4 linked regions of the Alligator mississippiensis genome follow. The protein of the gene in region 3 purifies or fractionates together with the protein of the main gene of each other region. This does not show direct contact. Links are inferred from orthologs where the notes say so. Each region holds a gene or a part of one and is shown on either strand. Other genes may lie near its edges. The genes, in order: DNAJB6, HNRNPDL, STIP1 and ACLY.

The links.
Region 1: the proteins of STIP1 (region 3) and DNAJB6 purify together in Homo sapiens (affinity purification with mass spectrometry; 3 studies listed by BioGRID and IntAct, with this or other methods). This does not show direct contact. The link is inferred for Alligator mississippiensis from reciprocal best matches to the Homo sapiens genes STIP1 and DNAJB6.
Region 2: the proteins of STIP1 (region 3) and HNRNPDL fractionate together in Homo sapiens (co-fractionation; 3 studies listed by BioGRID, with this or other methods). This does not show direct contact. The link is inferred for Alligator mississippiensis from reciprocal best matches to the Homo sapiens genes STIP1 and HNRNPDL.
Region 4: the proteins of STIP1 (region 3) and ACLY fractionate together in Homo sapiens (co-fractionation; 3 studies listed by BioGRID, with this or other methods). This does not show direct contact. The link is inferred for Alligator mississippiensis from reciprocal best matches to the Homo sapiens genes STIP1 and ACLY.

What each region holds. Positions count from the first base shown.
Region 1 is NC_081828.1:202,941,138-202,949,193, forward strand, and holds the start of DNAJB6 (dnaJ homolog subfamily B member 6), read right to left. Parts: upstream 3,035-8,056; 5' UTR 2,925-3,034; intron 1-2,924. UniProt on the Homo sapiens protein: Has a stimulatory effect on the ATPase activity of HSP70 in a dose-dependent and time-dependent manner and hence acts as a co-chaperone of HSP70. Plays an indispensable role in the organization of KRT8/KRT18 filaments.
Region 2 is NC_081825.1:146,137,024-146,144,570, reverse strand, and holds the start of HNRNPDL (heterogeneous nuclear ribonucleoprotein D-like), read left to right. Parts: upstream 1-4,392; 5' UTR 4,393-4,490; coding exon 4,491-4,588; intron 4,589-5,386; coding exon 5,387-5,555; intron 5,556-5,637; coding exon 5,638-5,799; intron 5,800-6,274; coding exon 6,275-6,406; intron 6,407-6,535; coding exon 6,536-6,650; intron 6,651-7,376; coding exon 7,377-7,544; intron 7,545-7,547. Other genes in the region: ENOPH1 (enolase-phosphatase E1), read right to left, coding at 3,576-3,659. UniProt on the Homo sapiens protein: Acts as a transcriptional regulator. Promotes transcription repression. Promotes transcription activation in differentiated myotubes. Binds to double- and single-stranded DNA sequences. Binds to the transcription suppressor CATR sequence of the COX5B promoter.
Region 3 is NC_081838.1:4,559,819-4,567,319, reverse strand, and holds the start of STIP1 (stress-induced-phosphoprotein 1), read left to right. Parts: upstream 1-4,403; 5' UTR 4,404-4,479; coding exon 4,480-4,488; intron 4,489-6,354; coding exon 6,355-6,564; intron 6,565-7,501. Other genes in the region: ADP-ribose glycohydrolase MACROD1, read right to left, coding at 266-367, 1,456-1,681. UniProt on the Homo sapiens protein: Acts as a co-chaperone for HSP90AA1. Mediates the association of the molecular chaperones HSPA8/HSC70 and HSP90.
Region 4 is NC_081827.1:162,979,228-162,987,010, forward strand, and holds the start of ACLY (ATP-citrate synthase), read left to right. Parts: upstream 1-4,641; 5' UTR 4,642-4,724; intron 4,725-7,783. Other genes in the region: ODAD4 (outer dynein arm-docking complex subunit 4), read right to left, coding at 314-445, 1,341-1,454. UniProt on the Homo sapiens protein: Catalyzes the cleavage of citrate into oxaloacetate and acetyl-CoA, the latter serving as common substrate in multiple biochemical reactions in protein, carbohydrate and lipid metabolism.

The sequences.
Region 1 (8,056 bases), on a different chromosome or scaffold from region 3:
TACAAGATTCCCTGCATGTTTGTACCTACTTCATGGCAACCGTCCATGTGCATGCTCATCGCATGGGAAACGTGAGGTTGCTCGCCCCTCAGTGACGGTAGGACATTTACCATAAAACAAGAGTGGACATATGGACAGTTATCATGGAGTGGCTAATGCAACAAGCATGCATCCTACCATACTGTAAGACACCACATGTGGCCGCACCCTATCAAACTGAAAAAGCTAAAAGTTAGATGAAACCACAGTTCTCTTACTAAACATTAAGTTACAACTTCGCAAGTTACTGTTGGCAAGAGTTGAATCAAACCTACAAGCCTATAGTTCAGGGGTGGAACAGATCCAGCCCTGATGCTGCCCCTGGGTCTGATCCGACCTACAAGGCACACAGCACATGCCCATATTGAGACCCATCTGCAAGCCGGATCCAGCCCAAGGACCCATTATCTTTCCCTGCCCCCAGCATACCTGATGTGGCAGCTGGGAGGGAGGGGAAAGGTATCCACAGGCAAGAGGAGTTTGTTTCAACAAACAAGCAGTTCAAACAAACTGCTATAGTTTGTTTCACTTTCAGTAAGTGAAAGATATGCATTGATTCTGCTTTAAGTAAAAAAGTTACAGAAGAATTATAGGGGAGCTTCATAATTTCAACTAACCATAAAAAAAATCTTTGTAGGTCAGCAGCACAAGTGCTTCAGCTTACCACATTTCTGCAATTATCTTTCTCTAGTAGTTTTATTAAGCATTTGAATTTTAAATGTGTAAGCATTTTGGCCATACAACCTGTATAAACAGTTTTACAGATGTTTTGCGGGATATGATATAAAGATCATTAGCATACAGAAATTCAGGAAGAGGATAAAAACATTTTTATACTAACACGATTTAACTGAAAATCTCTTCTCCCAGCCAAAAATGAGAAGCCTCAAAACCACTGGCCTACAGTTAAGGTTGTACAACCACACTTTCTGCACATAACCATCTTCTGCCTGATGGTCCACTAGCAACCATGAAGTAACCATATCAAAGCAGAGTAAAGTTCACTACAGTGCAGATTCTCTACCAATTTATATCGGGCCAGTAAAGAGAAGGTATTTCCATTGTTGGAGATACTAATGCTGCCTCTTGTCAGGCATCTTTAGAGTAGAAGGTCTTTAAGGCAAGGTCAGCTTTCTGTTTTACTGGTATAACACCAAACCCAATTACATCTTGGTTCATGAAAAGAGCTCACAGGCACGAAGTAAAAAATAAATAAATAAATAAATAAAAAAGTCCCTCCTCCCCCTCCCTGTACAAGCCACTAACTACTAGTTACTCTGCTGACTGAAATGGAAGGCTTGAAGACAAAGAGGTGCCTCTTCTTCTCATAAACAGTTTAAGCACATCTATGGGAGCTAGACAATAGTGAAGAGTGACAGGACAGTTACTAGTTTGATCTGGTTACTGTTGCCATACTTCATGGTTCCTAGTGGACCCTCAGACAGGAGATGGTTAAATAAAAAGCATAACATATCGCTTAAATCATGTTGAGCCACCGGCATTTTGCAAAACTGAAGTCCAGAGTCTGACAAGTTGTATCAGTCTCAGAGACAAATCTTCTTAGAGTACTAGGGGGAGAGGCTGCTGCAGAGGACAGGGAGGGCATGGTGGCTGCTCCCCTGGCAGTCTTTAAGGATGAACTGGGAATTAGGGAGGCAACAGATTAAAGGACTAGAAAGTCAGCACTGGAACACACAACAAATAAAAGTGGCATTTATTAGACAGCAGAGCTGTAACAACTACAGAGAAATATTTTAGCGTAGAGATGGCTGAAAGCGTAGGGGGTTAGGGTTAGGGTTAGTCTCCAGTAAAGACTTCAAAGGAAGGGAAACAGTTTGGTTCAAAAATTCCTTTCCCCCCTCAAAAATTAAAAAGTGAAGTTTGTTGGGGGAAAAAAAAAAAAGCTTTAATGTTGCTCTCCTCCCCTTATTTATAGCAAAAAAAAAAAAACAGAAAACAAAATAGAAAAAGTGAAACAGGGAGTGGGAACCTTTTCCTTACTACAAAATAAGACTTTTAATGTTCACATATTCCATTAGTGTCAGAGCGACACAGTAGCCCCGCTGGTCCAGAAGTGATGCCAGAGGCAAGCACTTCTTCAGGCAGTATCTTTTATCGAACCTCCTACGTCCCTAGGTTCAAGGCAGACAAGACTTCCAAGAAATTCGTCCCCAGGCCTCCAAACATACTTTAGGTCTTTTTCAGCTCTCTGAAAAAAACATCTCCCTAAGAAACCCCTTGCCTCTCACATGTTGCACCAAACCATGAAAAAAATATTCAGTCAATTTTATTTTAGTTGTTTTGGTTTTATTTAAGTAACGCCCCCCTCCCCCGTTTTTTTTTAGGGAACACCACCGCTTTACTTTGGGGGCTTGTTATTGTGCCCCAAGATACCGGGCTAACGGCGGCGGCGGCGCTGGCGCAGCTGTTCAGCTACGAGAAGCTAGGAGCGCTGCAGACAAAGGCGGCTCTCGCCCGGGAAGCGCCCTCGCTCGCAGCCCCCGGAAGCCCCCGCGCGTGGGGCGCCGCGGCCCCTGCCCGAGGGGCTGGAGTCACCGCAGCCGGCTCCCGGCAAGGAGACCCGCCCGCTCCGCGGGCCCCACGCCGCAGCCAGGCCTGCCTGAGACGCGGGTTTCGGCGGCGGCCGCTGCTCCTCCGGCCCCGCAGGAGCCCGGCCGCTTCCCTCAGCCTCCGGGCTCAGCCGCGCGGGCCGAGGCGGCGCCGCTCCCGCCCCTGCGACACGCGCGCGGAGCTGGGCCCCGCGGAGGCCTCGGCCCCCGCTCCCCGCCAGGCCGCGGCCGCCCGTTGCCACCAACACGGTTGCTAAGGGCCCGGCCCCGCGCCGCCGCCCACCGGCGGCATCGGGCCGCCCCGCGCGAACCCACCTCAGCGGCGGCTCTGCTCCGCGACGTAAGAGCAGCGGGAGCGATGTCGGGGCAACTCTATCGCCCTAAACAAACAGGAAACACGTCACCACGACCTCACTTCCGCGGCGTCAGCTGTTTCCGGAAGCTTCTCGAATTTCCTCCGCATGCCCCTCCCTCGGCCCCCGGGCGGAGCGCGGCGGCGCCCCCTGGCGGCGGGCGGAGGCAACGAGCTCGGGCGGGACCCTGGGCCTCGTCCCCGCCGCGCCGTGCACGCTCCTGGAGTCACGGGATTATGTGAAGAGCGCAATGTGAACTAAAACAGCTCCATCTAATCGTCTACCTTGGAGCCACGAAACCTGGAGTTTCCAAAGCCAGAAGGCGTAGGACCGCAATCGCCCTTATTATTTAAAATCTCATCATTTTTAACCCTGTTGATTTCCACTCTCCGCACCCCTCCCCCAGCGCTTAGCTTTTGTTCTACCTCTTCTAAATCATGTCATTCAAGGGGGGGGTCTAAGGGCTTTGAATGAATCTGATATCTTTTATTAGACCAACTTACATTTTAAGTTCACACACACACACACACACACATTAATGAGTGGATTGAACCTCTTTGCAACTAGTCATTATAACTGTTATCCTTCAGCTGAGATCATTATGTTATGGGATGTCATTGAGCTCCTTTACATAAGCTCACAGGTGATGCCTCCAAATCAAAAACACGTCATTTGCCAAAATAAAGGCTTTGCTCTACAAAGTAGTCTTCTGGGTCTTGGTGGGCACACGTGTATAAGAAAGGCAGAACAATTTAAGTGAAGAGAAACGTACAGCAACGGAGAAGAAAGACAGGGAAGACAACCTGGAAAAGCCACAGGCAGTGTAATCCTGCGCCCAAAAGCTTGCAAAGAACTTTTTTCCAACTGCTCTGTTGGTCTAATACAGTGGTCACCAACCCATTGATCCCGGATCCTCTTTTGGTCAATCCTGGGCTGGGAGAGAGCTGAGTGCGAGCACGTGCACGCACCCGCCCTCGCCCTCGCCCCTGCAGTCCCAGCAGGTCAATCTGTGGGGAAGGGAAGGGAAGGGAAGGGAAGGGAAGGGAAGAGGCAGGGGCCAGCTCGAGGCCCTGTGGTGAGGCCCAGTCAGGAGCAGGAAAACATAAGTAGTGCCCCAGCCCAGCCGGGTGGTGGCAGGATTGTAGCCTGGGGGGCTCCTCCAGGGGCATGGGGTAGGGACTCCCCCCATCTCTGCGGGGGCAGCAGCAGCAGAGGCTGCTGCCGCTACACCTCGAGTCCCACTGTAGCTGTCCACGTGCCGGCGCGACTCAGCTCAGCAGCAGGGACTCGTGTGGGGGCGGGCCTGGCCCAGCCAGGGTTGGGAAGATCTGGTCATCCAGGGGCACCACATTCATCTGGCCACGGGAGGGGGAAGGGGGCATAGATCCTAGGGTGCCATTTGCTTGAAAAAAGTGATCTTCACCATAAAAAGGTTGGAGACCACTGGTCAGATATAAAAGATATCACTCTCGGGCATGGCGGCCACTCACGATACCTGCAAGTGTCTTGGCATTGCTGAGACCTCCACCCAGACAGAGCCCGTGACCCCAGACTGCAGGGTGTGGCTGCTGGCAACCGTACAAGGGGGCATCCCGACTTGTGGGGTATGCTCCCTGGTGGGGGCCCTGGAGGGCCGAATGTGGGAGCTTGAGGGGGAGGTACGTCAGCTATTCACCATCAGGGCCCACGAAGATTACATCGACAGCTACTGCCAGGCCCTACTCCAGGAAAAAGAAGAAGTAGAGAAGAATAAGGTGGAGGAGAAGGTGGCCACAGAGAAGGCTGGCCACAAAGACCTTCCCAGAGCTACCTGGGAGACAGTAGCAGAAGGGCTGGCAAGCCCTCCTGGCTCAGTGGGGACGTTGCAGTCCTCTTGAAAAAGAAAAAAGAGGCGTACACACAGTGGAAGCTAGGGACAGTCCTCAAGGAGGACTATACAACAGTGGTCCGCATTTGTAGGGAAATGATTAGGAAAGCTAAGCCAGCCACTGAGTTTAAGTTAACCAAGGGAGTCGACGACAATAAGAAGTCCTTCTTTAGGTATGTAGGGAACAGAAAGAAAACAAGTGGAAGTGTGGGGCCCGTGCTTAACACCTCGGATCAGCTGGTAACGGACACTCAGGAAAAAGCTGAACTCCTGAATGCCCACTTTGCTTTAGTATTTCACCGGACCAAGGGGAAACACAAACAAGATAAAGATCACAAGGGGCATGGTGGGAATGATAGCCTTCCCACTGTGGATGCTGAGCTCATGCAAAACTAACTAGAAAAGACATTTATAAGTCAGCAGGACCAGATGGACTTCACCCGTGAGTGCTGATAGAGCTGGCTGAGGTCACTGTGGAACCCCTTCCAGAATTTGTGGCACGCAGGGGAGATCCCTGAGGATTGGAAGAGGTTCAACATTGTGCCCATCTTCAAAAAGGGAAAGAGGGAGGACCTGGGCAACTATAGGCCAATCAGCCTAACCTCCATCCCAGGGAAAATCCTGGAAAAATTCATTAAAGAATCTTTGTGCAATACGCTCATTAAGGGTAAGATTCTGAAGGATGGCCAGCATGGCTTCATCATAGGTAGGTCTTATCTTACCAATCTCATCCCTTTCTATGAGCAGGTCTCTCGCCACCTGGACATGGGAGAGAAGGTCGACATTATATAACTAGACTTTCAAAAGGCTTTTGATCTAGTATCCCACAACATCCTTGTGGAAAATTTGGAAGATTGTGGGTTTAACTGCTCAACACTTCAGTGGGTGGAAAACTGGCTGCATAGTAGGACCCAGAGAGTGCTCATGAATGGATCTGTGTCATCCTGGTGAGAAGTGGCCAGTGGTGTCCCTCAGGGGTCCATGCTTGGACTGGTGCTTTTCAAGATCTTTATCAATGATTTGGATGTGGGGGTGAAAAGTTAGCTGGCCAATTTTGCGGATGACACCAAGTTATGGAGGAGTTTGGCCATGCCAGGAGATAGGTTGCAGATACAAACGGACCTGGACAGACCTGGACTCTACCTGGCTGTAGAGTTGGGCAGACCAGAACCAGATGAAGTTCAACACTCAGAAATGTAGGGTGCTCCATCTGGGGGCAAACAATCCCCAACATACCTACAGGCTCAGTGGCGACAATTTAACTTGCACCACAGCTGAAACGGACTTAGGGGTAGTGATCAGCCATCACATGAACATGTGCTGAGGAGGACAAGGTGCATTTCTTGTAAACTATCAAGATTCCATCAAAAAATACCCGTCTTCATCATCACCCAACTCCATCACAAATTTCTCCTAACTGAAACATGTTACAGGCCCCCAACTGTTGGTGAGTCACTTGGGTCCAGAGGAAGACCAATAGATTATTCTGGCTATTGTGGTTGCTGGTCTCAAATTATTCTGTCTGAGCTATTCCTATGTTCAGAAAGTTTTACAGAGACAGGCTGGGATTCTTAAGAGTCCTGAAGGAGACGTGCTCGATTTCCAGGGCGCCTAACTTCCTTAAGCCTTTTAGAAAACCCCAGGCTCAGTATCCATTAATGTATTTATTTTAATTGCTTGAATATCATATTTTCTATTAATTTATTGGCTTCAGAGCTCTGCAGCATAAAATTTTCTGATTATCCAGCAAAATAGGAACACCATGGGCAGGAGAGGAAGTTTCATCTCAGCACTGTTCTAATGGAACTGTGCAGTCAAAACTGCAGCTCAGTCTCTGTCCATTTAGTTCTTCTGAGATTATGGCATCAAAATGGTTAATTTTTTTCTTAATTAGGACTTGCTTCATGAGGGGTAGGTAAGGATTTCTGTAGGTGATATCTTTTATTGAACCAACTAGATGGTTGGTATAGTCTTAGAAAAGTTTTCTAATGCATTTTCATTCAGATCTGGGGAAAAAGCAGTCACTCCTGCACAGCCTGTCACATTCCCAGCGTGCATGGCTCTCATGCAGTAAAACCTATGGGGAAAAAGAAGGGAAATGTGATTGTAAAATGAGTGGTTTTACAATTCATAGATTCATAGATGTTAGGGTTGGAAGGGACCTCAATAGATCGAGTCCGACCCCCTGCATAGGCAGGAAAGAGTGCTGGGTCTAGATGACCCCAGCCAGATGCTTATCTAACCTCCTCTTGAAGGCCCCCAGGGCAGGGGAGAGCACCACCTCCCTTGGGAGCCCGTTCCAGACCCTGGCCACTCGAACTGTGAAGAAGTTCTTCCTAATGTCTAGTCTAAATCTGCTCTCTGCTAGCTTGTGGCCATTATTTCTTGTAACCCCCGGGGGTGCCTTGGTGAATAAAAACTCACCAATTCCCTTCTGTGCCCCCGTGATGAACTTATAGGCAGCCACAAGGTCGCCTCTCAACCTTCTCTTGCGGAGGTTGAAAAGGTCCAGGTTCTCTAGTCTCTCCTCGTAGGGCTTGGTCTGCAGGCCCTTAACCATACGAGTGGCCCTTCTCTGGACCCTCTCCAGGTTATCCACATCCCTCTTGAAGTGCGGTGCCCAGAATTGCACGCAGTACTCCAACTGCGGTCTGACCAGCGCCCTATAGAGGGGAAGTATCACCTCCTTGGATTTATTCGTCATGCATCTGCTGATGCACGATAAAGTGCCATTGGCTTTTCTGATGGCTTCGTCACACTGCCGGCTCATGTTCATCTTGGAGTCCACTAGGACTCCAAGATCCCTTTCCACTTCCGTGCCACCCAGCAGGTCATTCCCTAGGCTGTAGGTGTGCTGGACATTTTTCCTCCCTCTGTACAATGTAATTGCAAGACCACAAAATTGACAGGGTTCCTAGTAACAGGTATAGTACCCACAAGCATTCTTCTTTAGATCGTAAGATCTTGGGAGAAAGAAAAAGTCTCTTTGCTTCTTGTTTATGCAGCATCTAGTACATTGAAGCCCTGACTCCTGAATTCTTGTACTTAATAAGTACAACTACAATATCAATGAATAACTGTAATACTTCACAATCACTTTTGGGAATAAATTAAATTATTGTAAATGTAAAGCTGCGCACCCCTTTAAACATAACAGATCAGGTTCTCAGCTCCTCTACACACTGCTCACCTGTAGCCTCAAGCTCCACCTGATGGTAGGTCCTCAG
Region 2 (7,547 bases), on a different chromosome or scaffold from region 3:
GCTCCAAGGCTGGGATTGCCAATCAGCTGATTGTCAGTCTTAGCCCCAGGATCATATCAGATCCAGTTCAAGATCAGGGAATTTGGGGGGGTGGCTGTATTAATGGCCACCACTCCCCTGCTGCCATATTTCTTGACTTGTGGAGATTCTCGCGAGCCTCATGCAATGGCTCTGTGGGCCATAGGTTGAACACCCTTGTTCTAGAAGGTTAAGTGACCCACTGGCACGCTAAACTACACATTTTTTGATTGAAAAGCTACTAGGTAAAGCGAGTTAACCAGAACAGTAGTATCCCAAATTTTTCAATCTGTCATTTCCCACAGGTCCTGTTCTTATGCAGTCTTAAAATAACATTGTACAAAAGGAGAACCACACTTGCCAGCTGTGAAGTGGACAGGAGTCTGATAGACTAGGGAATGAGACAATGAACTTATTTGAAATAAGTCACCCAACTGTTGTTGGGAGATTAAATTTTTAGGGCTGTTCTGTTCTGGGTGGGATGTAACCTGACAAATCAGAGATGGGACACTTGAATATTCAATGATATAAAAAGTCAGAATGGATGATCTAATGGCTTATTTTGGCCTTAATATTCCATGAATCAGTCCACTATGACCCAAGATTTTAATCTAGCATTTCCAAAATTTAAAAGCTGAACCTCATTTCAGGAAAGAAGTCAATCTGTGCCTTCCACATTACTAATAAGCCTACATCCTAATTTTTAAATTGCTTGCCCAATATACCACTTCTCCAGTTAATCTTCAGACTCAACTCTCCATCTTTATGGAAAATACAGTATAAATCTTCATACTACTCTTCTCCTTTTTTACATTATTGGTATCTATGCTAGCACCAAGTAAAAAATGAAGTCAGTTCACAATGCAGAAAGAAGCTCTCAGAAGACTCAAATAAATATTGCAGCTTCAGATACATTCGCATAATGTTTGGAAGGTCATCTCTGCATCCACAGCCCCTTAAAAGACTTAATTTCAAAATTAGTAACTGAAAACAGAGAAAAATCTTCTGCATGTCACAATGTAGAAAATACTAACTCAAGCAATTCAGGTATACCTCACAAAAGTCCCATCCAATTATAAAAATCCATGCAAGTTATTCTTGAAACATTCTTGCCCTAGCATATACAATAAATAGTTTGTTTAAAGTAACATTTTAAAACTATCTGCTTTTAAAATGTTTATACAGTTTCCTATGTTAGTATAAACCCTTTTAGCACAAATAAAGTTATACCAATAAAAAAAGATTTTTTTGTCAGTAAAACATGCAACACCAAGCAGGTTTTGCCATCCTAGACAGCTATGCCATTAAAAAAATTACATTCCTATCAATGGCCAACATAGCTATGTTAGCAGAATTTAAATATAGGCCACACCTAATAACGATTAGTAGCTGCCTGCAGTAATAGCTACCTTAAAGTCAAAATCTTGAGTCTTTTGATGTTGATCATCTATATAAAAAAAATCACAATTAAAGAGGAAAAACATCTAGTTGATGGGTTTATTTCGTCTTAAAGAGTGGCCTGCAAGAAAAGCAGCAAAGGACTCGTGAAATTGATTTTTCCATTCTAAAAGAATTTAGCATTGTAGTTTATGGTGGTTAAACTGTCTTTTCATTACCAAAAAGGAACTGTTCACCATCTTGCCTGGTTGAAAATTAATATTCAGGTATATTAAGAAAAAATTATCATAAGCAAGCTCTTGCCTTTTTTGCCAAATACAGAGGTGTATTTTTATTTGTTATAGAAACTGTTATACAATTAAAGTGATGTATGCTCCATTAAGCTGCTTTGGGCAATAAACATGAATGTAATGGTACTGTTTTGCATTCATATCATTCATAACAACTTGATTTTGGGGGGGGGGGGGGGGGGCAAGTAACACTTGCAAATTATAATGTTGCTTCATGTGTTTCCATGCATGTCAGCAATGATCAAAATAAAATCCTCACCTTGCACATGAAGGATTATTTCATGTTTAATTCATTTTTTACAGATATCAATATTTTGAGAACTGGATGGACATAATGGGAGAGTACAATGTGTGTCGGAGTTCTTAGGTAGGTCCAAAGTGATCTATAGTACTTGTTAGCACTGTGTTCAGAAACATATATTTAAAAGGCCACGCGGTAAACTAGTATGAATGTCTGTTCTTTTTTATAGTCTGTAGTCATGTATATATTTTTTTGGCTTTCAGATTAAAAGAATTATGCAAGTCACACTTATTTTAAAAGACTGTTGCTGTTGTGTAGGATTTTCATAATGTTCACCCCAAATCACTTAACTTTTTTATTTGCAACCCCCACCCTGCTTTTCTCTGTGTTGGCTAGTAAGCGCTGTCATGGCCCAATCAGGCTATGCCTCAGGCATCTCTCTCTAAGTGACCTGGTTTCTCTAATAATTGATGTGAGTAGATCACAACCAAGCGTACATGCCTGCTACGTGTGACAAACTGCATTTATGTGACAGCGTGTGCCAGAGCTACTGAGGCTTAAAAGGCCAGAGATGGTTACACACTTTTGCAGGCTGGTACTGAAAACTGTGGGTGTTTTAGGTTGGGAAGAAGAGAGAGGGGAGCTGCAGATGCTGAGGCCTCTTCAGTAGCCGTTTCTCTTTGCATTTCAATCTACAGCATTGGGCAGGGCGGCAGCATGTCAGTAACACCAGCAAGGAGTTGCACAACAAGGGGAGGCAAGAGACAGACCTACACATGCACACTCTGAGAAGTAGGCAGTCCCACATACAGATGCCCTCCCCACATGCACAGTGTGCAAGCTAGGCAGCCCCTGCACACACACACTGTGCAACCTAGAGACAGACACACATGGACCCCCCCCCCACACATTGTGTAAGTTAGAGATGACCCCCCACACCCATGTGCTGTGCAAGCTAGACATATGTGCATGTGCGTACACACGCACACACTATGCAAGCCAGGGACAGATCCACATGCAGGCCCTCCCACACACACTGTGCAAACTAGACATATGCATGCTGTGCAAGGGTACGCTAAAGGCAGGTTCATACACACATGGTGCAAGCTCAAGACACTTCCCCAACACCCACACCATGTACAAATCAGATAGAGACCCACACATCCAGCCATATGTGTGCAAGCTAGACAAACCAACACACACACTGCACACAGCCCCCCCCCAAGCTAGAGACACCCCACAGCCGCACACACTTGCATGCCAGACAGCTGCACCCTCCCACACATCCAAGGTGCAAGCTAGACAGACCCCCGCTGTCAACTACGCACAAACTTCGCATACCTCTATCACACACGCACATGAACGCACGCGTGCGCGTTGTGCAAGCTCCAGCCAGGGACACACACCCCCCAGCCCCGTATCACTCACAGAAACGCATGTGTGTAAAGCTGCCAAAGAAGATTTTTTCCACCTATGTAGTTGTTCTAATAAAACACATCGCATCTACCCAAAATACACGGCGTGGCGCTTCCGCGTGAGCTATAGCCAGGACCCCTCCCCCACACCCCGCGGCGCTCGATATCCAAGCGAACGTGCCCGCAGCCCGCGTGCTTCCGGCCCCGGCCCACCTTGACAAAGGCGATGGGCGTGGTGGTGCCTTCGATGTCCAGCAGGATGGCGCGGACCGCGGCCGGCACGGACAGCACCCCCATGGCCCCGCCCGCTCGCCTTGCGCTGAGCTGCGCCCACTGCCGCAGCAGCTGCGCGCGAGGTTGATGCCGAGTAAGCGGAGCCGGCAAGCGGAGAGTGAGAGGGCTGCGCCGATTGGCTGGATAGGAGGAGGGGGTGGGGCTTAGCAGGCACCCTAAGGCTCTAGGCCTGGAGCCGGGGGTAGAAGTTGGTCCGTGGGGGACGGGACTTAGCGCAAAGCTGCGGAGGAGGGGGCGCGAGCCGCTGCGGGACCTTCGAGACAGCAGCCAGCTGGCCACGTGAGTGGGGTGGGCAGTGCCGATTGGCTGCACGGGACGAGAAGGCGGGGCTTTGCTGACATCTGTGCCTGCGGGGCGAGGCAGTGCGGCCTGCTGTGGGCGGGCGGGGCTGCTGAGTGCACCAAGTGTGGGGGGGCGCGTGCGCGGTTACATAAACAGAGGCCCTTCCAACCCTGAGGTGGGCGCGGCGCTCTCGGCTGCTGTTGCTCTCCCTTCACGTGGGGCGAGAGAAGACTTGGTGTGGGCCGGCCCCCTGCCCTGGGGCTCCAGTCGGAGCGGCCTGCAGCTCTTCCGCTTGCTCCGCGCTGCTTCCTCCTCTCTGCCCATAACCGCCTAGCCGCGCCGCCGCCATTCTGCGCTCCCCCCTGCCGCCCGCAGGGGGCGCTGCGGATCGCGCCCCACCGCGCCGCGCTGATTGGCTGCCGTGACAGGTATATAAGTACGGCGCAGGCGGGGCCCGGATCTCTTCCGCCGCCATTTTCTCTGCCGCTCGGGGCTCTGGCTGCGCGGCGCCTCCTCTCTTTGCCACTGCGTGTCGGTCTCTGCGCGCCCGCCATGGAGGATGTGACCGAGGTGAGTGGTGGCGGCGGCGGCTCGGAGGACTTCGCCGAGGGCTCCAAGATCAACGCCAGCAAGAACCAGCAGGACGATGGGTGCGTGCGGCCTCGGGGTGGAGACGATTGTCACGAGCCGGGCCTGGCTGGGGGGGGGGGGGTGGTGATCCCCTCCCCCACTCCTTGGTTGGGGGGGCTCTTTGTGTCTTGACCCGTTGACCTGGCTTCCGAGGGGCGGGGTCACGAAGTGCCAATCACTGCCCCTGACGTCACCCGCAGCCTATTGGGGCGCGGCAAGCCGCCACCTTCCCCCTCCTGGAAAGGGGCGGGGCGAGCGCGTTTTCTGAGCTGGGGGGGTGGACACGTGCGCGGGCACGGGCCTGCACTGCTTCCCTCTGGCAGCATTGGTGCGTGGGGGGAGCCCCCATACCTGTGGTTATGGCAGAGTGCCAAAAACACCCACAGTCTCCCCTTGTTAGGTGTTGGTGTGCCAGGGGTGGGCAGCAAGCAAGCTGCAAGGAGCCTGATCCTTTTTGCGGCAGCGCAGCCCAAACACTTACCCACTGTCTATCTGGAAGCATGTGTGCCAAGCAGAATACCTTCCCGTGCCACACTGGCACCTGTGCTGGGACTTGCTTGCCCCAGGGTTATAGTCTTGCTCAGGATTATGTCCATCGTTGTGCTCTCTCAGCGTCTAGTGTCAGACCTTCCCCTTCATCTAAGTAGGTCTCATGGGTACAGCAGGCAGCCCCAAGCTCTGAAGATGGGGTGGATGGATCCAGTGGTATGTTGCTGGCTCCAATATGGCTAGAGAAATTGCCACATAGGCTTGGTTCTTTCCAAGCTTGATGTGACTAGCCAAATGCTCTGCTCTTACCTTTTTCTTTTTTTCTTTAGCAAAATGTTCATTGGAGGCCTGAGTTGGGACACAAGTAAGAAAGATCTGACTGAATATCTTTCTCGTTTTGGAGAGGTCGTGGACTGCACAATTAAAACAGATCCAGTAACTGGGCGGTCAAGGGGATTTGGGTTTGTTCTCTTCAAAGATGCTGCCAGTGTTGAGAAGGTATGTGCTGTCAGTTTAGGGGCTGTAACAATTTTGTCGCTTCTGAACTTTCTGAAAATTTTCTTGGGTATTGTCTTGTTAGGTGCTGGAGCTTAAGGAACACAAGTTGGATGGCAAGTTAATAGACCCCAAAAGGGCAAAAGCTTTAAAAGGAAAAGAGCCCCCCAAAAAAGTATTTGTTGGTGGGCTGAGTCCAGACACATCTGAAGAACAAATAAAGGAGTACTTTGGTGCTTTTGGAGAGGTACAGTATGACTGCTCTGGAGACTCTTTAATTACATGATCAGTGTTAATAAATTAGATAATTTGTTTTAAGTTTGGGAAGAGAGAGGATAATCTGTGCTTTCCATGGAATTATGGTTTTCATAAATTTCAATAAACCAGCAATATCTGGAATGAGGTGCAATAGTTAAATTAACCATGGTACTTGTGGTGTACCTCATCAAGTGATGCAAGGGGATTTTTTGGTTGTGTTTTTCCCTTGCCCCCTCCTCTACTCCCCAATGTACAGATAGGTTCCACTGGAATTCCCCCACTTCAATGTAGTTTGTTCTGTTTTCGGCTATATAAATAGAAGAAGTTAAATGGATTTTTTTTTTTTTTTATTTAAACTATATTATTGGTGTGGATGTTTCTCTACAAGAGACTACAGTGAGTCAGAGTAAAAACCGTGACAATGATACACTTCAAATGATTTTTTTATTTTTTTTTATTTTCAGATTGAAAATATTGAGCTTCCCATGGACACAAAGACAAATGAAAGAAGAGGTTTCTGTTTCATCACGTATACAGATGAAGAGCCAGTAAAGAAATTATTGGAAAGCAGATATCATCAAATTGGTTCTGGAAAGGTATGGATGTTTTTGGTCCAACTGACAAAGCTGTCAAGTAACAATTCTTGTTGTTCTGGACAAGCATTCTTAGTTTTATGTTGTTTTCTTGGCATTTGCATGCAGCTAAACTTTCCTATCTCATTCCAGTGTGAGATCAAAGTAGCACAGCCCAAAGAAGTATACAGACAGCAGCAACAGCAACAAAAAGGAGGAAAAGGAGCTTCATCTGGTGGACGAGGTGGTGGCAGGGGCCGTGGCAGGGGTATGTTTGTTGGAAATTGTATCTCTTTCTAAGGGCTTTTCTCCAAGCTTGGTTTTAGTTTGTCTGTTAGGTTGCTCCAGAACAAACATGAGCAGGGTAAACGAGGTGTGGAAACTAAACTTCCTGGGACTTGGTTGACTTCACATTTTATAAAAACTAATTTAGGTTGTTTTCACAGCTACTCAAATGTAAACTGAAGACTAGTTACTTGCGTTGAGATTTGAGACTGCAAATTCCTGAATTTAGTGGTTGTTACTTTTAAAAGGTATAGATATGGGGTAAAGCTAGATAGTATCTTCAAGGTTTTATCCATGGTGATCCAGGTAATGTGGAAAGGGGGTAATAATGATCTGTTGACAGTGGGGGGGGGGAATGTTTCCAAATACATGCAATGTATATGAATGTTGGGACAAGAGTCGTCTTGCCAGTATTAGGTGATTTATGAATAGGAGTGTGCTACCTCTTCACTTTTCAGTAGTTAAACCAAAGTCACCAACATTTGCAACTCAATGTGACACTTTGAAGCAAGGTGTTTTGGAATGTTGCATGTTTTTGTGTTCCTCATGCGCTTCCAAAAGCATTAGATGCTTTGCACAGTGACAGGACTTTTCCACATAGCCATTACAGAATGGAGCTACATGTTGATGTAGATTGCTTGCTACTTCTCTTGGGAGGGATAGAGTGTAGGAAGTGGAACTACAGTGTATAATTGCTGTACTTTTTTAGGTCAGGGACAAAGCTGGAATCAAGGATTTAATAACTACTATGATCAAGGGTATGGTAACTACAACAGTACTTACAGCGATCAAAACTACAGTGGTTATGGTGGATATGATTATCCTGGGTACAACTATGGAAACTATAGCTATGGACCAGGATATACAGATTACAGCGGTA
Region 3 (7,501 bases):
ACAACCTCCCCCCACCTCTGCCAGTGCCCCTCACTCCCGACCTGTAGTCCCTTGCTCCCCCAGTGCCCCTCACTCCTAACCCATGCACCTGCCCACCGGTGCCCCTCGCTCCCAACCTGCAGCCCCCTCCCCACATGAGCTTTGGCTCCGAGCCCCCATTATCCCAGCCCTATGAGTTAACCTTGGATATAACACCTGCTTCTTCAACCTGTCCCCTCCCCCAAACCCGGCTTAATCTAAATTAAGTCTCCATGTGGACACTCACTCTTAGCCATCTTCTTCCAGGTGTCAATGCTCTTCAGAGGGAGGAAGTCCTTGGTGAAGTAATGCTCCCGCCGCTGCTTCTGGCTCAGGCCACTCAGATACTCTGCAAGGGGGAAGATGGGTAAACTGAGGCGCAGAGCAGCAAACTAGTTGGGGAGCAGGGGGGACAAGTCCCAGGCTCCAGGCCCCTCTGCTCTCACCCCCCAGCCCCACTCTCCTCCCAGAGCTGGAGAGGACCCAGGTGTCCTGGCAGGGCCCGGCCGGTTTCCTACTCCCCTGCCTGGCACTGCTCTCCTCCAAAATGACGGCTGTCACCTAGGGAACAAGCCCCCAGCTTGGCGCTGCCCAGGCCCACCCAACAGGGAAGTGTCCTCAGTGTCCCCCAAGGGTCCCTTCAGGCCCCGTTGCCATAGTGACTAGAAGGCCTTGGGCCTCATCCGGCCTCTGGGGTGGGTCGGTCCTAGGCCCCAGGCCTCCTGGGCCTATTTCCATGGCAACCTCTAGCCACCCCCACCCCACTGCACTGGGCCTGACACCTAGGTCCGAGGCCTCACCGGGCTGTTTCCATAGCAACGCCAAGCCCCCACCACGCCTCCCTGGGCTTGACACCCATTTCCATGGTAACTACTAGGCCCAAGGCCTCACTGTGCCCTTTTCCATGGCAACTTCTAGGCCCTGGGCCCCTTGCTGGGTGGCATGTAGGCTTTAGGCCTCACCAGGCCTCACCCTGCCGGTGGTGAGCTCTAGGCCCCAGGCCTCACTGGGCCTGTTTCCATGGTGACCTGTAGCCCTGCCCTCTGCCCCCCAGGGCTTCTTGGCACCCTCTAGGCCTCAGTGTCCTCTAGGCCCAGCAGCGCCAGGCAGGCACTCCCAGAATCCTTTGCACCACTAGCAGCTGCTGGCAAGCACCCACGGCTGCTCTCAGTGCAAAGGATTCTGGGAGTCCCGCCACCCCCTTGGCACAAACCGCAGCATTGCCCGGAGAGTCCTGCCACCCCCTTGGCACAAACCCCTAAACTTTGGCACGCCCTAAACTGGTGCAGGCCTGGCCTGGAGACCCCCACACTGTGCCTAGCAAAGGGACAAGGGCAGGGCATGGAGCTGGGCACACCTACAGCAGCCAGAGGGGGCACAGGCCTGGGGGGAGCAGGGGGCTATGCCCGGTTGCCCTCCACCTCCCCAGGCACTTACTTTTTGCCTCCTTCCAGTCGGTGGAAGTGGTGAGGTCCACTTTGGCCGCCATGTGCAGTGGGGGGGCACCCGCCCAGGTCCGGAGCGCGCCCCGGGGTAGAGAGCAATCGCCCAAGTGAACTGCCCCCCTCCAGAGAGCCCCCAGCACCCCGGGGCGCCCGACCCAGCCCCCCAGCACCTGCCCTGCCACTCTCAGGGCCTGAATGCCAAACAGAGCCACTGGCATGGTCGCAAAGAGATGCCCCCCCTCCCGGCGCTGGTTGGTCCCTGAGTGCAAGAGGGAAATTCTTCTCCCTTATTTATTGCACCTGGTATTTAGCTGGGGGGGGGGAGGGAAGGCGGAATCCGTCCTGCTTGAGCAAAGCTGGGCTAGGAGCAAGCTCTGCCCAGAGCTTAATGCAAAGGATGCTGGGAAATGTAGTCCCCGCCCTAACCCCATCTCCGTGCAGAGGCTCTGTTTCGGGAGGACGGGGGCTGGGAGCCAGGCACCTTCTCGTCCCACTTCGGGAGGGGAGTGCAGCCTGGGGGGCTGGTTAGAGGAGGGACGGCCGGGGCCCAGATGCCTGGCTTCTCTCCCTGCTCTGGGAGCTGGGGACTGAGAGCAAGGGGCTGGGAGCCCGGACGCCTGGGGCCTCCCCCTGGTCTGAGGGAAGTGGGGGCTGAGGGGTTGGAGTAAGGGAGGTCTGGGAGCCTGGACACCTGGGTTCTCTGCCTGCGGTGCGATACCCCCTCTGGAGCAGAAACCCAGCCCCATGCTTCGACCTCTGACCCCTTCCACCTCCTGCCCCAGCCCAAAACCTCTTTGCAGCCAGCCAGGGCTTCAACTACAGCTCCTGGCATGCTGAGCAGAGCCTCCAGGGCCTGCCCCCCTCAGCCCCCTCCTTGTGCACAAGCAGGGAGACTGCCTGCTTCTAAAGGCAATGCCCTTGCAAAGGGGGCTGGAGTTGGACTGGGATCATATCCCCCCTCCCCCTATAACCAGAGCTCTGGCTATTTAAACCCAATGCTTGGGGAGGTGGGGGCTATAAATAGCTCGTGGCTGCCTGATCTTGCTGGCTGCTTCAACCATGGGCTATGTTTAGCCCTACACCCTGTGTGCTGACAGTCAGGGCCTTTTGCTGAGCCCCACATGCTATGTGAAACCCTGGGCCAGAGGAACATGCATCAGCTTAAAAGAAACCTCCAGGCAGGAAGAAGAGCACAAGATATATATATATATATATATATATATATATATATATATATACATACACACACACACATACACACATCTCATCTAGCATAAAACTTTCCATCACACACCTTAAACCACATTAAGAAACCGCGCACCCATTACAGAGGAGAACAAGACACTTTGCACTGAACAGAGGTGGCCACATGAGCTGTGCAAAGCTGTTGCACAAGCCTGCTGGGGTGTGGGATAGTGCTTTTTACCACAGGGAAACTGAGGCAGGGATAACAGCAGGGATAGAAAGACCCCAAGCATCCTGGCTCCAGCCCCTCCCCCGGCCATACTGTGGGCACTGCACCCCAGGCCCATTACTGCAGACAGAACCCAGGAGTCCTGGTTCCTCAGTGGTCCCTAAGCCACTAGCCCTCTCCTGCCCAGGCCACATCTCAGGACAGACCCAGGTGTCCTGGCTCCTTCCTACCCCCTCGCCTAAAACCCACCCACTGGAGCCCAGGTTACCTGCCGCTTCCCACCCCCGGCAGCTCCGCTGGGAGATTTGGCTGTCCCACAGGCAAGCACTTCCACCCAAAGCCTCTCCCCGAGATCCCGAGCTGGCAGTCATGCATGGTGGTGACCACACAGGGCACCAGGTTCACGGACATTGTGAATGCCCAAGAGCCGAGGTGAGGTATGTGTACGCACGGGACATCACATGTACTGGAGGCATGCAAAACATGAGTGTTGGAGACGCACACACGCGTCATGCATATGAAGCATAGGAACCAGTGCCAGAGGGACACACGCATCTTACACAACTTATGCATTGCCCTAGAAATGGGCCCAGCAAGGCCTGGGGCCAAGGTGGCAGGCCCAGTGAGGTTGGAAGCGTAGAGGCAACAGGATCTGACAGGACCTCAAGACCTTGGGGGGCATCCTCAGTAAGGGGGCCTGGGCAGCACCAAGCAGAGGGGGCTTGTTCCCTGGGCAACAGCCCTCATTTTGGAGTGTGGCCGAGCCAGGCAGGGGAGTGTGAAACCCAGCAGGATGCCTGGGACCTCTCCCCAGTGGGCTGGAGCAGGGGGAGGCGAAAGCCCACGCACCTGGCAGGAGGGGTACGAGTAATTGTGCAAGCTCCCCTTGCAGGGCAGGGGCACGAGTGGGGACTGAAACACAAGACCTCCCCTCCTCATCCCCTGCCTGCCAGGAACAGGCCCTCCAGGCTCTGCCAAGTGCACCAGGACCCCGGGGCTCCCCGCGTTGAACTCCCCAGGTCACACGTGGGCAGAGACCACCTAACAGCGCAACACAACAACCAGTGTGCCCACACGACACACTTCCCGCCAGCGGCTCAGCGCCGCCTTTTAAAGGACCACGGGCGGTGACGTCTCTCTGGAGTGGCCCAATCAGAACGCCGCACTCCGGCGTGGCGTCACGGCGTTGCGGCCAGCCAATGAAAGGACGCAAAATCCCAGGATGGGAGGGGGGCCTTTGAGGGATGGAAAGGCCGTTGGACCAATGGACGCTGAGAGGCGAGCAGCAGCCAATCGGAAGAGAGAGGGCGGGGCTCAGTTGTCAGGCGGGAGCCAATGACATCAGGCATGGGGAGCGAGGGACGGCAGAGGGCTTGATTGACAGGTACTGAGGATCAATGAGAAGAGGGAATGGACGGGGTGGGCGGGCCCCGCGTTCCAGCGAGGCGGTGCGGGGGCCGGGACGGACAGCGTCTCCCACCAATCGTGGCTCGGGGGCGGTGGGGTCCCCGCGGGCGGCGGCCAATGGGGCGGCGGGGGCGGAGCCGGGAAGCTTTCTAGCAGGTTCCAGAAGGCAGCGGTGGTCGCGGACCGGCCTGAGCCATGGAGAAGGTGGAGAAGAGGGATCTGGGGGGACGGGGGTGCTTGAGGGGTCCCCAGGGGCTGGGCGCGCTACTGGGCGGGGCTATGGGGGCTGTGGGGAAGGGGCTGCCCGCCCTGCCGCACGGGAGGGGGCTTCTGGGGGCGCCCCTGGGCGGGGGGGGGCAGGACGCGGGGGGCATTGGGGGGGGGTTCTACTGCTCCCCCACACTGTGAGAAGGGGGCGATGGGGGCAAAGGTGGGGACTGAAGGGGTTGGGGTAAATCTGGGCCTGGGGTATGTGGGAGCAGCTGTGTGGGGGGGATGTGGGGGCAGCTGTGCGGGGGGGCTGGGGGATGTGGGGGCAGCTGTGCAGGGGGGGCTGGGGCAGCTGGCAGCCTGGGGGGGTTGCATGGGGGCAGCTGTGTTGCCTGCTTCCTTGCAGCCTGAAGAGGCCCTGGCAGGGGCAGGTGGAACGAGTTCCCTGTCGTGTTTTCCCCCTCCTCCCTTGGGCCCGGCCCCGTGGGTGCTGCTCAGGGCTGGGGCCACCGCCCGCCCCTGCCTGACTGGAGGAGCTGAGACCTGTTTGTGTCGGCACCTCCCTGCTCCTCACAGGTGCCCGGTTCTCCCACCTCCGCACCTGCACTCCGGTCCCCGGCCCTGGGCCTGGGCTTCCACACGTGCAGCCCCGAGCCCTGCATCTTTGGGGCAGATCCAGGCTGGGAGGTTGAGCCTGGCACAGCTCTGTCCCCTTGTGACGGGGGCTGCTGGGCAGGGGCGGAGGGGGTATTGATGGTGTGGGATTACTGCTCCTTCCACTTCCGCAGGCAGCTGCTTGGGGGCCTTGAAGTGGTAATTATTTCCCTCTGGGTGGCCTCCGGTTTGGAGCTCAGCCCCCACAAGGCAGCTGGCAGCTTGGCTTCAGGTGCCGGATGGGGCTGGGATGCAGCGAGGTAGGGGCTGGAGACCAGGGCAGAGGCGGGCACCTGCAATCAAGTGACTCATTTTGGGGGGGGGGGGGGTCAGAAATGCTTCTTCCTGGCAGCTGTGGGCACTGATGCATGGCTTCCCAGCTGTCCCCCGTGGCACAGTTCCTCCCTACCTGATCTCCTTGGCTCGAGCTGCCTCTTTCTAGCAACGGGGAAGCACTTGTGGAGCTGCTCTCCCTGGACTTCTGCCCAGCTGCAGCCTCCAGAGGCACCGGGTGATCCCTGCTGGAAGTCTTGTCACAACATAGACCAGGCTGGGGAGGCTTAGTTTGGAGGGTAAAGTCGGTTTAGGTTGGATCTCAGGGAAAACTTAACTGCTGGAGCAGGACCGCAGTGGGAGAGAGGGCAGGAGAGCTAGGGACTCTCCATCACTGGAGGGTTCAAGGCTCTTACAGTCGTCGGTTGGGGCTGATGGGGGCATAGCGCTGCCTCTTCTACTGTGGAGATTTCCCAGGCTTCAGGCGGGGCAGTGCTGGCTGCCACCGCCCTGCCTCTGCCACTTGGGGGGGGGCGGGGTTAAGCCTTCCCCAGAGGCACTGGGTGTTGGCTGCAGCCAGGCTGGAGGTTGTAATTGCTCTGTGCGTGTGCTGCTGGGACCACAGCCGCTGGCTACAGGGTCTTGCCTCCTCTTAGGGTCAGGGCAAGACCCTGTGGGAAGGGCAAAAGGGGGAGGCAGGAATCAGCTTTGGGAAGTTCGTATCTTCCCCCAGCATCCACACCAGCTGTGCCTTCGAGGTGCCAGCTCACATCTTGGTGGGAAAGCTGAGGCAGTTGGTACAAAGCTGGCTGCAGTGATACTCTCCATGTGCTGACCGAGACCCCAAGGGTAGGGACAGGGCTGTCTGGAGCCCAGTGGCCCCTGGGAGACTTCCCGGCTGGGCTAATTCATCCCCTTCTCCCTCCCTCTCAGGTGAACGAGTTGAAGGAGAAAGGCAACAAAGCGCTGAGCGCGGGGAACATCGCTGAGGCCATCAAACACTATTCAGAGGCCATCAAGCTAGATGCCAAGAACCATGTGCTCTACAGCAACCGGTCGGCAGCCTACGCCAAGAAGGGGGAGTATCAGAGAGCGCTGGAGGATGCCTGCAAGACAGTGGAGCTCAAGCCAGAGTGGGGCAAGGTGAAGCGGGGGGACAGATCTAGCTGTATCGGAGGCTGGGTCATTCCCCAGTGGCCCCAGTCATCCGTGCCTGGGTGGAGAGTCCCATGGTAACTGGGGTGACTTCCAGCTGGGGCACAACTCATACACATCATAGGACTGATTCCTAACTGCTTTTTTCCTCCTACCACTGGTTAGATGTAGGCATGGGTGGGCTGTGAAGACACCTGGGTTCCATTACCAGCACCAGGAAGGGTCCAATAGGGTAAAACAGCCAGGTGCTGGAGTTCCTCAAAGCCCTTTCAAGCATGTAGTGGGATGCCTCATTAGCATCATTAGGCAGCTCGCAGGAGAAACCCAGGGTTGTCCAACAGGAATGCATAGTGTTCAAAATGTCCTGAGCTGTCGTGATGGGAGGCCTTTGCAAGAAAAGAGTCTCTCTCTTGTTTTTTCTGTGGTCAAGAAAGAGAAAGCTAAGAGCTGAGATTCTCCAATGGGGGTTGGAAATCTGGAGGGGGTGGGAAGCATGCTGGGAGTCTGTAGTGGGGGTGGGGTGGCCATGAGTCTGTGGGCTGGGGAAGGCAGGCTGGCTGTGGCGGGGATCAGGGGTGTTGCATCTAGTCCATACCGGTGCTCTAGACAAGACCAGCCCTGGCTAAATCAGCCCAGCTGTGTCTGAGGACAGAGACTTTCCTTCTTCCCCCACTCAGAGCCAGAAAATCCTCCCACATTCCCAGTCTCAGTTTCCCCTGCTGCCATCTCTGTCCTTGTCCTGTCCCATGTGGCCACTGGGAGTCATCTCTCTCATTCTTCCTGCTGCAGGGATAAGCCTCCTTCAGTTTTTTCTTCTCCAGACTCCCATCATCCCAGTCTTTCCAGCCTGTTCCCAGGCCTGTATCCCAGACCCCTGATGAGGTTTGTCACTCTCTGCTGGGCTCTTTCTAATCTGTCCTCATCT
Region 4 (7,783 bases), on a different chromosome or scaffold from region 3:
AAGCCTGTCCAATTAACTTTAATGGAAACCCAAGTCTTCCTGGCAGATGTGGGATTTTAGTTTGATAAATGATCATGTCTCAAGACAACTACGTCCTCTTATAAAAGCAGCAGAGCTAGCAACGAAAGAGTGTAGCAGCTCTACAACTGAATGCAATTACAGGATCATAACAACTAAATATTGTAAATTCAGACAATCCACCAAGACAAAAATTGCTGCCTGGTGCAGGAATAAAAAGTGTAGGAAAAGCAGGAAACTGATGCTTCCCCTTGCTTCTGGCAGTACACCTATCACTTGCCCAAGTACTCTTTACCTTGGAAAATGTTTTGTCATTTTGAAGAGAGGCTTCTGCATCTTTCAGGGAATTTTCTGTGTCCCCAAGCTTCAGGTAACATTTTGAGCGAGCAACCAGACAGTGCTTATCCCCTTTTTGAAGCTGCAGAGCCTGGGGTGCGAACACAGAGATGTACTCAGTCGCCTAAGCTTAGCAAGATGGAAAACACACGTTGGACCCATCTGTGGAGAACTGCACTGCATGTAGATGAGACTTCTGGGTCAAAAAACTCAAGGCACATCCCAAGCATCACAACCCTCCCTCCCCACCAAGGTAGGCAAAGGTAATTAATCCGCAGGGGGAAAGCTGGGTCACAGAGAGGGCAAGGTGCTGAGAGAGACTCTGCAGTGGGAGGCAAAAGCAGAACCCAGGAGTCCCAGCTCCTGCCCTCCATCAACAGTTGTCAACCTGCGGAGACTCGAAGCACCTCTCAGAAAATGCCAATTGTCTTTTCTTGTCTCCCACTTGTTTCCCGCCCCCCCAAAAAAGAAACAGAGCAACTCCTCTGTTGCAAAGGGCTCAGAAAGCTCAGAGCAGGGCAGAGCACCTGCAACGCTACGGAGGCCCAATTGAAATCCCTCTAGTTTATCATGCTCACACCAAGCAGCGCCCAGCCAGCCCCTCGAAAAGGTCTTAAGGACCCAGTTTGAGAATCGCTGATGTAGGTAGCCTTCCTCGGGCAGCTCTGCCCCTACGGCTGGCAGGCTGGAGGGAGCTAGTAGCGAGGGGGGTGGCTCAGTCCCACCCCCCCGTAGGGAGGCCGTGGCGCGGGTGGGGAGCGCTACCCCAGAGGGGCAGCACTCCCCCCTCTCCCAATACTGCCTGCCCCGTCCCCTTGGCATCCCCCTCTTGGGCCCCAGCTCCAGGCACGGGGGCAAATACCCCCGCGGCCGCCCCCTCAAGCCCCCTCCTCGTGGCCCCTGCTCTGACACTTGACCCTGCCGGGGGGGGGGGGGGGGAGCGCTCATGCATATTCATGACGCCTGTGTCATGGCGGCGCCCTCACGTTAGTGAAGCAGAGCAGCGCCTTGCTGTGCTGCCCGCGCCGGCTGAGCAGTGCGCCCTCGGCCATGAGGCTGGGGAAGGTGCCGACCAGCTCCTCTGGCTCCACGTTCGCCATCGACCCGGCCTGGCAACAGCCGCCGCTGTAGCCTGGCAACAGCCGCCTAGCAACCGCCGCACTTCCGGGAGGGGCCAGTGAGCCCGCTCCCGCGGTGCTACGGGAGAGCGGAGGGGTCTTTCCTAGTGACTCCGCGCGTTTCTCCCCCCCCGCCCTTTCGATTGGTTCTTTCCAATCTCCCCTTCCTTCCGCAACCCCCTCCCTCCCGCCTTGTTCCTGCCGGGGGTTCCCCTCGGCTTCCCGCTCCCTTGTATCTCACCTCCTTCCCTCCATTGCACTTCCTCTAGGCGCCTGACATACACACGCGGCTCCCAGCCACGCTCCCCTCTTCCCTGCCCTCCCCCCAACACACACGCACACCCCACCCCAAGCACACTCGCCCCTGCCCTTTCCCTAACACACCCACACCCCCCTTCCAGCCATGCTCCCCTCAGCCTGGAGGCTGGTCCTTAGTCTCCTTCCACCTCTACCCCTGTGCTGCCTTGTCATCCAGTAACCCTCACCTCTATCCCACTTCAGGCCCTCTTCAGCTGAGCAGGTTGCACAGCCCCCAGCCCAGGCAGTCCCAGGACTTCTTGGGGTGCTGCAATGCACATGACATTGGTTCCCAGATCCCTATTTCCAGCTTGGTGCCTCTCAGCCACAACCCGCCTGCAGGGCTCATGCAGCCACACCATGGGAGCTGTACCCTGTATTCAGGAGGCTTAGTGGGCCTTCACTTGTTTGCTTGGCTGAGGTCCTCCCCTGTTCTGTTGGGTCCCATCCCTTCCCTTGCAGATGCAGGCAGGATCCCCCTTGTTCCTAAAAGGGGAGTTACACTAGGCTTTCTGTCTTAGATGTTTGTATAGCTCCTTTTGCTGCAGAAGATTGCATATTCCCATCTGAATCACGTGGCTGTCACAGGTATGGGATGTTCCCAGTGCTGCCACATCCAAGCAGAATGCCAGGGAGAGTGACCCCTTGTTACCTTGACCAGGATCTTGCTGTCCTGATTCTTGCCTCATGGCAGTTATTGTGTGTATTACAGTAGCATTCTGCAGCCCCAACCAGTGATCATGGCCCCACTGTGCTGACAAGTATGGAGAGTCATTTCTTTTCCCAAAGAGTTAACAATTTAAGGTCTTGTTTACATGGGGAAACTAATTCAGGTAGGGTCTGAGTTTAAAGAAGAGCAACCGTTTAGGATTGATTCCTGGTGTAAGGATGGTTCTGTTCTGGAATTAGAGAGCCTTGTTTCTAATTTAATCCTAAATGGGTCAAATGCAAAGGGGTAATCCAAACCAGACTAAACTAAATTAGAATAAAGCACTCTAATTCCAGAATAAGAGAGTTCCCCCATGCTAGGGAATAGTTGTTCCAAAATAACTCCTCATATAAATGTCTTCAAAGAATAAGACACTAAAAACAGAGCTAGCAGACAGAAGCATTGCAGCAGTGTAGCTTCTTGCCCCAGTGAATTTGTGACTAGACTGGCAAGCAATCCTGCAACAGATAATTAAAACAATGAATTACTTGGCATCCTTGTTTAGTGGCCTTGCAGAAGTGATCTGAAGGATGGGAGGAAAAGCACTGTGTCCATGTTTAGGGACGCTGTTCCAGGTGTGGGCCATGAGAGATCAGGAGTGAGCAAAGGAAGCGAGTGGTGGATGAAGCTTAAGTGGTAATGAAGAAAGCAAGTTAGGTGGTGCACAGGTGGTGATGATGAGGGCAGAGATTTAGGCAAGGGTAGAGCTGTGCACAGCTTTACATGTGAGGGAAGGAACAATGAATATACTGAAGTGAGAGAGACTTTGGAAATGGGGGGTGAGCTCTCTTACAGAGAACTCTATGGAGAATTGCTGCCTGTACCCCATGGCTTATACTGGTTGTTTGTATTTTCAATAGCTTGTTTTGGACCAACAGGCCTGACCTGCAGAGAATCTGCAGTCTCTTTATCCAGTCTGTGTTCACTTTGCTGAGTATTTCTAAGCTGTGCAGGAGCCCTGGAAGAACGGCAGGCATGTAGGCACAGCTGGTAGCCTAACTGTGGAAAGTGATTAGGAAAAATATTTTGTTGTCACTGCTGAAGGACGGGATAAACTGGTTCTTCTACTCTGTCATCCTAAATGGTTCTGAATGAGGCAACAGTTTGGCAGAGGTAGGTCTGCAGCTGAGTAACCCCATAGCCTGGTGGGATCAGCTGTCATCCTTTAACCATAATGTATCTTATTGATGCTATCACAAGCATCGTCCTTCCAGGCAAAAAAGAAATGATAGATGAAACTTTCAGCTGTTTCACTTGTCCTACCAGAAAACATTAGTTTTAGCTGTACTTTAGCCTTGGATAGGGGCCTGCTAAGATGGATGCTTAAGAGTGATGCTGAAGATTAATTCATTTCTCCTGGCCTAATGATTCATTGTGGGTGTGGTGGTCCCTCTGGCATACTCAGAAAACATTATTTGGAACTAGTGACTCCAGGCTGGGTGTGGGCATGATCACAGCACTTGTAACATTTAACTTCAGCATGTGAAAAAAATCAAAGCGGTGGCTGGCTTCTGAAAGACATGTTTGGTATCTGTAGTTGTGTATATTAATCCTTGCTAATGTTTCAGAGCCTGTACAGCATCACATGAGGATTTTTGGTATGAGAGATGTTTTGTCCTTTGGTAGAGGGATAGGAAAGCCCAAGTGATTAGACCAAGGTTTGGGTTCAGGTTGGAAGAGCCTATGCTCCTTAAAGGAAGGAGAGGGAGCTTGGGATAATCCATAGCAATCCTTTGTGACGAAAGGATTCATGTGGGTATCACAGTATTATTCTCAAGGAGCAAACTTTCTGTTGTGTGTGGAAAAGGACTGCGAGAATAGGCTGTGTTACAACTTTACCTCTGACTTGATGAGCATCCTGGCAACTTGCTTCAAGTTATGTGGAGCACTCGGTTTTCCTCATCTGTGAAATTGAGAAAATAATACATCTTGTTCTTAGGAGGGTTATAAGATGTCATTAATGTTTGCAACATACTTAAATCCAAAGATTGCAAAGACTCTTCAGAGGCATATTTCACTATAGGATCATGGGCTTGCTCCCTGCTAAAAAGAGCTTTGGAAGGGTGAAGTACCATAGTCCTAGAAAAGTAAATCTCAGCCACAATTAACTTACCTCCTCTGCTTATCAGAAGTAAAGGTATGATGCCAACTATAAGGAGACTATAATCTAAAGAAGGAGCAGCTGAGGACAAGAAGTCAGGATGGCTGGGTTTTCCTCCCGACTCTGGAGCACTGCAGGACCTTGGGTAAGTGACTTGGCCTCTTTTCCTCAGCAGGTTTCCCACCTGTAAAGAATGCATTGGCTCACCTCAGTGAAGTGCTTTGTAGGAATAAACCCTTCTAGGCACAGAATGCTAGTGGTCATTACTTACATTTTTAATTTTATTTTTATAGTCACACCAGCAACCAGAGTTTAATCGTATGAGGCAGCAGGTGATACAGCAACACTTACGAGTGACTCTATTTGGGTTTCTTTTCCTTCTTTATGCCTACAACTAAACAGCACTCTGGTCTGTGGCAGATCAGCACTACTGGGCTAGATAAAAGCAATATGTAGCTAGGGTCTGGCAGAAAAGTATGCTACTAGAGCAAAACTAAGAGGATGTTGGGAGTATAGAGAGGCAGGCCCAGGGAAAGTTCCTCAGCACAGTTGTTAGGTAGGGAGGTGTGACTAGCCATAGGGACTGAGGGAAGGTGTCAATCTAGGTGATTATTTATGGCAAATCTAAAGTACCCATGGCTGAGGGCAGGGACCCTAGATTGCAGAGCCCCTTAAATGAATGTTTAGAACTGCAGATACAGGGGACTAAAGCAGGTCATGGTTAGCACAAAGGGAAGAGGACATTGGGTGCATCTACCCGTTCATTAATGCACGATTGTTACTGGCAGACAAGGTTCCTTGGGTGAATCTGATATCTTTTATTAGACCAACCCAAATGGTTGGAGAATAGTTATATAGCAAGCTTTCAGGTTCAAAAACCCTTCATCAGGCTAAAGAAGTTTCAGCAGTTGGTGTGAGCTCTTCCTGGATGGAATGAAAAGTAAAAAAGCCAGGGGCTGGGCTGGTATGCATACAAGACAGGCAGTCAGTGAAGATGTAGATTAAGGAGTCAATGGGTGAGAGACAGGCTGGGGTGGGGGTGGGGGGGGAAGAGAGAGAAGGGGGATGAATAGTGGAGAGAGACCTGGGGAGTCAGATGTTAGGCAGGTTATAATGTGTCATAAATCCAATGTCTATATTTAGTCCATGTTTTTTAGTATCCAGCAGGCTGATGAAGTGGAGTTCATAGGCTTGTCTCTGGGAAGTGTTTTGCAAGTTTCTTTTGAGGATCAGGACAGAGAGATTGGAGAGAGAGTGGTTTTCTTGTGAGAAATGTGCCCCCACAGGTAATTGGGTATTCCTGTCTTTGATAGATTTCCGGTGTGTGTTCATTCTGGTGCGCAGTTGTTGTTTGGTCTCTCCTACGTATTTTCCATCAGGGCATTTGGCGCATTGGAGGAGATGTATTACATTTCTGGAGGTGCAGCTGTAAGATCCAGGAATGCTGATGGCTCTGTTGTGGGGTATAGTGAGTGTGGGGTTGGTGGAGGTGTGTTGGCAGGTTTTGCATTTCTTGTCATGGCACGGTTTGGATCCTTTTGGTGTGTTCTGGGCTTGAGGAAGTTTGCTTCTGGTGATGTTAGTGAGGTTCGGTGCTTGTTTGAAGGCTAGGATGGGTGGCTCTGGGAAGATCTTTTTAAGAATAGGGTCGGGGTTACTGGGTTTTTGGTTGTAGCCATGTTGGTCTAAGGACATATGCAGGCAAGGTTCTTTGAGCAGATGTGATATTTTTTCATTAGACCAACCGAGTAGTTGGAGAAAAGTTCTTAGCAAGCTTTCAGGTACAGTAACCCTTTGTCGGGAATAGGGAGTCTCTGCAGAGAGTGACTGCACCCAATGGTTACTGTACATTTAATTGAGTACTTGTATAATCAAGCTGATTATTGATGGCAATTTAGTCCTTGTATAATCAAGTATTAAATAAATGCGCAGTAACCAGTTACTGCGCAGTAGCGTGGATGATCACCTCTTCAGTGACACCACTGTGCCGTAGCCTAATAACAGTAGTGCTGTTGGTGCTGCGACCTGCTCCTGCGCAGCATTAGTCTGTGCAGCTAGTGTCTCATGTAGACATGCCCCTTATGCCTCGCTTATCCAGGGATCCCATGTAATCAACAAGAGACCAACTGGCTCCACCTGTCATCAGACACGTGGTCCTCATTAGAAGGGCAGCTAGTCCAGGCCAGGGCTGCCCCCAACTCTATGGTCCTTTGCCTAGCCAGGGCCGGGTGCCAGAGCAGTGGGGCACGTGATGGGGTGAGCTCCCACGCCTGTCCCCGGCTGTGCAAGCCCGGCAGGGTCCCTGAGACGCGCGGTCCCTTCCCTCGGGGCCCGCGCTGGCGGCTGTGCAGTGTAGTGCAGTGCCAACCTGTCCCAAGCCTCAGCAGCTGGTGACCTGCGGGCCCGGCCCAGCCCAGCGCCGCCCACGGGAGGTGCAGTGGAGCCATGATCATGCCACCCAGCGCGGGGGCCGCCCTTGCCCAGCGGCCCTATCCCCAGCGCGCCCCGCGGAGCTCCCCCGCGCCCCTCCGGCGGCCGCCGGGCCGGGGTCGCGCTGCCGCCGGGGGCGACACCGCACGTCCCGCCAGGCCGCGCAGCCCCGCCCGCGACGCGCCCCACCGCCGCCGCCCAATGGGGAGCGCGGCGGCGCTCAGGCAAGGCCACGTGGAGCCGGCGCTGCCCAATGGCGGCCCGGGGCGGGGCGGGCGGAGCAGGCTGCGAGCGCCCAACAAAAGGCGGGGGCGGTGGCAGCGGCTGGGCCGGCGCGGAGCTGAGAAGAGAGCGGTGAGTCTGCGGGGCGGCGGCCCGGCCCCTCTCCTCTCGCCGCCGGGGGCGGGGGTCCATGCACCGATCCGGCCCGGCCCGGCCCGGCGGGAGCGAGGGCCTAGCTCGGATCTCGCCTGCCCTGGGGTAGAGGCACGGCGCAGGAGGGCTGGGAGGGCATCTAGGCCACCCCCTGCTCCTAGCGGCACCAGCCCCCACGCGATCGCTCCGGACACCGCTTTGTCTCCCCCGGGGCTCAAAAGCGTCCAGGGATGGCGATTGCACCAGCTCCCTGGGTGGCCGGTACCTTCCTGGGGAGAGACGCTTCTCCTAATGGAAGGCTGGAGCCTTCACCCCTCTTGCTGCAATTTGAGACCATAAGTCCCCCTGGGCTGGCGGAGGACAGTGACATATGGGGTGCTGAGCCTGGCTTCCTCCTTC